Nothobranchius furzeri: one gene and its partner. The protein of the gene in region 2 interacts with the protein of the main gene of each other region in a biochemical or structural test. Links are inferred from orthologs where the notes say so. Each region holds a gene or a part of one and is shown on either strand. Other genes may lie near its edges.

Region 1 (3,819 bases), on a different chromosome or scaffold from region 2:
GCTCCCTATAGCACCTTCTAGAGTACTCGAACCCCCCCAAGGCTCTTTACAACACACCAGTCATTCACAAATTCCCACACTGAAGGTGACGAGCCACAGCAGCTCTGGTGAATGCTGACGGGGTGGTGCTGCTGTACACAGACACCACCAGCAGAGTGCCTTGCTCAAGGACACTAGTGAGCCAGCAGCAAGCCTGCAACCCTCCAGATACGCAGCAGGAACTTCACTCCTCTGCAGCTGTCTCCCAAAGTGACTGATAATGATGACATGATTTAGTCAGGTGTCTGTTTGGTGTTATTTAATGGGTTAAGGATTTAAAAGAGACAGAAGTCTATATACTTGTTTAAAAGTACTTCACCTGTTTGTGAGCACTTCTGAGGATGTGTGCACGAGCCCCTTCACATGCTGTCCGCATCGCTTCCATAGAAGGTGTTCCCAACAGGTCAGTGATTAAATCCAACTGAACACAAATGTAAAACCATTAAATCACACATACCACTCCACTGAACCTTACATATGTAAACTGTCTGAATTACTAGTGTCTATCAGCTATCACCAGCTGGCTAGAAGATAGCAGGGTTCCCCTGATTAGTCTAAAACTTGGTCATTTATCTTCTGCCGTCGGGACAAACTTAAGGAATTTGGGTGTTTTTGACCAATCAATGTCTCTTGAAGGTCACTCAAAAACGCTGGTCCGAAACTGTTTTTATCATTTAAGAAATATCTCCAAACTGTGAAGGTTGGGGTCAAAACATGAACCTGAAATGGTTCTCCATGCCTTTATCTCCTCCCGTCTAGATTACTGTAACACACTCTTCACATGTTTTAACAAACAAGCCCTTGGCCGCCTTCAGTTGGTCCAGAACTCTGCAGCGAGACTCCTAACTGGAGCAAACAGAAGAGCACACATCACTCCTATTCTGATGTCTCTGCACTGGTTACCCGTTAACTTTAGAGTTCATTTTAGAGTCCTGACTAGAACTATCAGGGCTCTACATCAGTGGTTCCCAAACTTATTTAGCCGCGCACCCCCTTCTATGTCCCGACCATGTTGACGCACCCCCAGCCCCATATATATATATATATATATATATATATATATATATATATATATATATATATATATATATATATATATATATCAGACGTCACGCTAAACCAGGGGTCGGCAACCTGTTCCCATAAAAGAGCCATTATTACCCGTTTCCCACAGTAAAGAAAACACCGCAGCAGCCGCGGCATTGTGGGCGGGGCCTACCCTCAGACAGCAGAGCGCTGCTCACAACAGGTGACAGCAGCCAGTACCGGTCGCTCGTGTACGTCAAAGCTATCTTTCATAAGAAGATAATCAATAAAACGATTTATATAAAGTGGATCCGGAAGTTGTAGCCCGTCTCTGCCGACAATATTTTGATATTTTTCACCCTGTTGGTGGTTTTACTGAGCAGGTGCCACTTTTGTCATACGTTTCTTTTTAAAACATGTTTAGACTGTTCAGAATACAAATCCAGGCTCTGTCACGTTTGATTGTTGTAATTAAACTTTGTAGGTGGGGAAGGTCAGAAAAGGATCCGATCATTTTGTTTTTCCCTCATTTACAGTGACGGAGATAACGGCGCAGTGCGCCTGGCTCTGGTGGTAATCAAGTTAAATTTGTAACAATTTTCACAAGAAAACAGAACAGTTAAAAGCAGGGCTTGTGTTGACCTGACAGTTCCCATATTTGGCCGTTTATTTTGACGGAGAAAGAATAGAAATAATTACCCCAACACATGCAGACGAACTGACACTTTACTCGTTTCGCAAATCGCAGATGTAACTAAATCACTCAAGAAAAGATTTCCTTCTGAACATCTGAGCTGGACACCGCTCAGCGGAGCTCACTGTCAGTGCATACGTACGGTGCACAGCAAGCTGAAGATGTGGAGAGGGGCTTGGAGCGCGTTGCAGAACCAGAGTGCATGCGGGAAGATTCCTTCCACTGAAGCGAGAGTTTTCCAAACCCGGTCTCTCAGAGAGACTTGTCACTTAGAAAATGTTCCCTGATGATGAAACTTTGGCTGAATTGTGCTTGTTCCTGTCTCCAATGTGGCGTCTGAGGAGAGTCCCAGAATCTCACATCGTCTTCAGCTCAGGAAGCGCCAATATGATTACTCACAAGCGTGATGCGTCAACCCGGTCTCACAGTAAGACCGGGTTGGAACTGTTCAGGTTTACGCAGACAATCTTTACATTTAGAATTAGCTTACAGATGTAAAATTAATGCAGTAAAATATAAAGCATTTTATTTAAATATCCATTAATTATTTTACAAACACAGAGAGCCGCATCAGATGTATGGAAGAGCCGCATGCGGCTCCAGAGCCGCGGATTGCCGACTCCTGAGCTAGGGCATGTGCGGAGGACACACACACACACACACACACACACACACACACACACACACACACACACACACACACACACACACACACACACACACACAAGCAAAATATACTTGTTTTCAATTACATTTATTGGGCCCACTTACATTTTCTTAGGTCCACCCACAAATGAGTTTCTGGCTACGCTAGCTTGGTTTATGCTTGACGCATTTACTTTCCGCGCGGTGATGCGGCTCGCGGATGGAACGCGCTTCACAACTCGCAGCGTTTATGGTTCGTGCGGCTCGTCTCTGCGGTGAGCCAATATTCTCCCAAACTGAACGGGGCAGCATGGAGCTCTACGGCATGCACCCAACACTTCACCATAGTAGAAGTAGAAATTACTGTTTACAACATGGTATTCCAGCATATTTAACAGCGTCCTCGTCTTTTCCGACAGTGCGAGCTATTTCTCTCCAAGAATTATTTACAACATGTTGATCACGGTGATCTCTGAGAGCTGAATCATACAAATGTCTGTATTTACGAACCTCTGCCATACTAGTTCTTGCCAGTCAGCCATGTTTTTCCGCGTCCGACCGTCTGCGTGGTTAGACATTTTCCGATGTGTGCGTTGCGGAAATTCTGGGCCGTGCGGAGGCGCGGTGGAGGGGCGTGGTTGTTAAAATGACGCAACTTTTCCGCGCGGACCTTGCGGACGCGTCAAGCATAAACCAACCTTTTATGGTGACTTTTGACAGACTTCTCTGAGCTCCGCAGCCATTACACTTTTCACCTTGCGCACCCCCTAGCGGCAGCTTGGGAATCCCTGCTCTACATGGTCAACGGCGTCAACCTGATGATGTTTGCAGCCGCAAACGAAACGTTGCAGGTAATTAAACCTTTTCTGTGTTTTAAAAAGAACTGAAAGATGGAATCTACAGGGTCAAGCTCCTCCCTATATTACTGAACTGTTAAAGCCTTATGCTCCAACCCGAGCCCTCACGTCCACCCACCAGAACCTTCTAGAAGTTCCACGGACCAGATATAAAAGTCGAGGTGATCGCTCCTTCCAGACTGTTGCACCTCGACTTTCTTTCTTTTTCCTTACGTAGCATTGGCAGTCTGCACACTTTTAAAAAACAGCTGACAACCCTTTTATTTAAAGTTGCTTTTACCTAAATCTTTTGTTTTCTTATTTTTAACTCAAATTAGAAATCTTCTTTCATTTGTTTTATGGTATTATATAATTTTATGACTTAATTTTTCTGATTTTAATCTAAATATTCTTTTATGATTTATGTTTTATTTCGATTTATGTGAAGATCTTTGTGATTCCATGTCTGTGATGAGTGCTAAACAAATAAAATTTACTTACTACATGATGCCATCACATTGCCGGATAATGGGAGGTTGGGGGTTTTGATATCCTATTTTTGCCTGGGATCAAACTTAT
Region 2 (4,337 bases):
TGCATGCTGCATCAAATAGGGCAATTTTCTGTCTGTGGCAACATGTGCACACACATGTCTGTAGCCCTTTGTCAGCCAGCTATTATGAAAACTATCCTGGGACAATAGGCTGTTCTGGGGTGATGATAATTACAAGTGACCAGGACAATAAGGTCGCGTATGGAGGAACTAATACAATGAGAAGACACATTTGTACAAATAAAGCTTTAAGCCCCCCTCCTTTCTTGCAATGAATGGTTGAACAAGAACAGCCCTGGATCAGGGTGAAAAGAAAAATCAGCCAAAACAAAATTGTCATAGCACACGGTCAGCCTTACTGGAAAATAAAATAATTATAATAAATTAGAGATAATTAAGTCATGCAAGAACAGTATTTATTCCTCATCATTCAGGTTGCTGAAAAACAGGTTGAACCTGTTTAATTTAAATGTGGGTTATTTGCATTAATTGGCATGCAGAACTAAAGAAGAAACTTGAAGAAAACCCTAAAGGCAATAAAATAGTCAGATAACATATGAGTTAAAAGCGCAATAAATCCCCACAAATAGTTTTATTGCTACTGGGTTTCATGAACTTTGTTTATGTAGGAGAGAAGGGAGCGCGTTTTGTCGCGGGACGATAAGACAAGGTTTTGTTGCAAGCTTTATCACAGGGAAACATCTGCAACTCCACCGTGAGCGCTCCACGAACAGGTGCTGTTACTTCGCTCTTGTCGCATGCAAACCCTGTCTTATTGTTCTCTCCGTCCGAATGCCAACACTCTCCTTCTTCTTTTCATAGGAAAAAGAGAAGCAATGCACATTGCTCAATGGAAAGTGTTCTGCGCGCACGACCAGGCTGTGTGTGTGTGTGTGTGTGTGTGTGTGTGTGTGTGTGTGTGTGTGTGTGTGTGTGTGTGTGTGTGTGTGTGTGTGTGTGTGTGTTTGCGTGTGTGTGTGTGTGTGTGTTTGTGTGCGTGCGTGCGTGCGTGTGTGTGTGTGTGTGTGTGTGTGTGTGTGTGTGTGTGTGTGTGTGTGAGGAGGTGGGTAGTACTTCACTATAATTGTGTAAATGTTAACACCACTTTGTTGCGCACATTTGTATTATATTTTAATTATGTATAGGACAAAACTGAACTAAACGCGGGAAGTTATTCAATTGACACGTATTAACTTTTAATATGCCATTTATTTTTATGGTGCATTCAATGTAACACTGAATTTATTTCTTAGTAGAGTGAGCCCAGTGGTTATTGTTTTATTTTTTAGCTAAAATTTAAGTTTACTCAATTTTAGAATGTAATGTTTTACCTCGTTGCAAAATTTCTTTCATTTCCATTAATCACATTTTTTTTTGTGTGTTTTTAAATACAGATAAAGAAAATTACGACTGCAAGTGGAGTAGACGGTGTATTGAGCATGCGCACTGGAGCGAAAAGCCTGAGTAGCGCCAAATTGCCCGGGATGCGAAGGAAGGGAGGGAGGAGGAACTCCCCGGAGTCTGCCACACCAGTTTAAGTTAATGTCAGCCTCCTGGTCGCTGGGAGAAGAAGCTCCGCGCTGACAGCGAAGGTACATGCTCGGCACCACCTGCTGGAAGCCGCTGTCCCGACTCAACAATGACTCGGCGGCCGAGAAACAGGTGGGCTTCCACTGAAAACTTACTTTAAACCTCATAATTCAGAACTTTTTCATCATATTTCATCGCAGTTGTTGTGTTTTTAGCGTGAAGCGGAGCACTTAAAGGTGCATCTTTTCTGACAGGGCACGCGCTTTTCCCTAAAAGCAGAAGGAGAAAAGTTAGATAATTTTCGTTGAGTTATTATTATTATTTTTGTATTTGTGAGTGTTATGTTTTCCTTGCGAGGGAGGCTCGCGCCAATGACAGGTGGTGGTCATCTGGCATGTGCGCTCCTCGCGCTGCTGTCACGGTGACACACACGCGCGCTGATGCCACGCTGCGGAGCAATACGGTGAACAGACGCAGGTGTTTCAAAGATATCGCAGATATTATGCATACTATTAGACTGAAAGCAGTTTCAGGGTTTGTGTTTTTGCATTCTGGTGTGTTGCGTTCAATGCGGCCGCGAACGCATTCTGTTACTTTCGTTTTCGTCCCATTTAACGCATAACTGCTCAAATGAATCCAGTCTAAAGGTCACTCAGCACCAGCCTGAAGTGTTCAGCAGCATCACTGAAAGCAAGAGGCGCTCGGTTATTTTGGAAACAGCGCTTTCACAACGTCCTCAACAGCGCGTGCTCTGTTTACTAAAATATTTAAAGAAAAACAAACCCACCTACCTCAAGTTAGACGGTCTGTGTCTTTCTGATCATTATGACATAAATTCTGCTGTTCAGAATCCCATCGATGGTTTTCAGTTCCATATGGATGTTAAAATGAAATATACTCACTTATAACATGATAGAAACCATAAATGCAATACGTTTTTGAATCTATCTGTAATGTTGTGCCCAAACAAGGTTAATCATGATGTCTCTGATCTTGTTTTATTACATGTATTCTTTGTGCTGTGCATCAGGGGTCTCTTGTATGTTTGTCAGTGGATTTTTTGCTGCTCATTAAGTCAAAATGTCCAGTTAATGGATAATAAAAGAATAGGAGGACGATAACACAATAAATAACCTTGACTGACACCGCAGAGGGGGGTTGTACACCTGTTGCTCACTCTGAAGCTACCTAGCTTCCACATTCTTTTGGTCCGACATCTTGATTGGTTAACCAAACACTGTGTGTGTGTGTGTGCACGCTGTACAATACCTGTGCAGGTCTGAACACGCCAGGGTCACAAAATTATGATCACATGTGCCAATCCCAGTATCTGTGGAAACCAAAAACACTGGAACCTGTTCATCCTTCTCCCTCCCTCCCCTCCTCCCTCCAGGCTGCTGTTCTTTCCTTCGGTCTTTTTTTTTTCTGCTTGTGGGTGTCTTGGCTCCAGGCCTGCACCCAAACCTTCAAGAATGACTGGTTCTCTGTCTGTCTTTGACACCTGATGAGCTAAACAGCGGGTTGACTTCTTTATGTTCTCTCTAAAGAGCTTATTAAGGAGTTATGTATCAATAGACATAAAGTTCATTCTCCCATTATTATCAGATATCATGCAACACTTTTCACACAGACTCCACCTCATTTAATCTCTGACCTTTGTTTATTTCTGCAGTGTTTACAGCAGCGAGGAGGATGAGGAGGAGACAGATTTGTATGAACACGACTATGACGGGTCACTGGCCAAGACAGGGAAGCGTCACCTTGGCAAAACTCGCTGGACGCGAGAGGAGGTATTCAAAATTCAACTTTTTGCCGGCATTCACTCTAGGAATGTGTGAACCCCACGTTTTAATGCATTTGTTACTGCAACTGCAGCAGATGTTTGACCTCTTCAGCAAACATGTTTTCTGTCTCATTCAGGATGACAAGCTGAAGAAACTTGTTGAACTTCATGGATCTGAAGACTGGAAAGTCATTGCAAGCCTACTAACTGTAAGTAGCTTGCCTTGGAGGTAAATAAATGATGTGAAAGCCAAAAGCTGAGGTGCATCTCCATCAGAGCTCTGGATTTAAATATGCACAAAATAATAAAATGCCTTTTTGTGCTCTAAACCACTCAGAATCGAACGGACGTGCAGTGCCAGCACAGGTGGCAGAAGGTTCTCAACCCAGAACTCATAAAAGGACCTTGGACCAAAGAGGAGGACCAGAGGGTAGGAAAACATAGAAGTGATGATTAATAACATCAGTTTCCAGAGAGCCATTAACATCTCTAGGAACCTGCTAGAAACAAAAGTAGGGTTTTTACTCACAGGAAATAAGTTGTAATGTATAAGTTGTAATAAGTTGTAATACTTTATGTTCCTGTTAGATTAAAGCAACCCCCTCTGTGGCAATTCTTTGTATGCTCTTGCACATTTTTTGTTACACAACATATGTCTTGTTTAATCTCATCCAAGCAGCGGGTGTTTATTGAGCTAAATCTAAGGAGTTGCATTTCCAGCCAGATGCCACTGAAACGATTAGCAGAGCGGCTAATGTTGCACAGGAAACTCCCTCGGCCCTCTCTGGCAGGTGTTCTCTCTCACCTCCGAGAAGAAAGTCGAGGGCCGGGGAGAAGCCTCATAAAGCTGTAAACATCTCTAACAGCTCATGCAGCTTTATTAAACTTTTTATTCTATTTGTTCTTTCATCCCCCCCCCCCCCCCTTACTGTCATATCTTCACTCCCCCTTAACTTCTCCCTCTCCTCACTATTATTACTTTTTCCTTCCCCTTTCCCAATCCTCTGCCATCTACTTCCTTTTCATTGTTCTTCCTCATGTTCTTTTGCCCTTTCCTCTTTTTTTC

The links.
Region 1: of the proteins of myb (region 2) and nlk2, one has a biochemical effect on the other in vitro, tested with the Homo sapiens proteins (2 studies listed by BioGRID, with this or other methods). The link is inferred for Nothobranchius furzeri from reciprocal best matches to the Homo sapiens genes MYB and NLK.

What each region holds. Positions count from the first base shown.
Region 1 is NC_091753.1:61,281,490-61,285,308, forward strand, and holds part of nlk2 (serine/threonine-protein kinase NLK), read right to left. Parts: intron 461-3,819; coding exon 359-460; intron 1-358. UniProt on the Homo sapiens protein: Serine/threonine-protein kinase that regulates a number of transcription factors with key roles in cell fate determination. Positive effector of the non-canonical Wnt signaling pathway, acting downstream of WNT5A, MAP3K7/TAK1 and HIPK2.
Region 2 is NC_091742.1:436,903-441,239, reverse strand, and holds the start of myb (transcriptional activator Myb), read left to right. Parts: upstream 1-1,366; 5' UTR 1,367-1,597; coding exon 1,598-1,620; intron 1,621-3,160; coding exon 3,161-3,278; intron 3,279-3,408; coding exon 3,409-3,480; intron 3,481-3,608; coding exon 3,609-3,701; intron 3,702-4,337. UniProt on the Homo sapiens protein: Transcriptional activator; DNA-binding protein that specifically recognize the sequence 5'-YAAC[GT]G-3'. Plays an important role in the control of proliferation and differentiation of hematopoietic progenitor cells.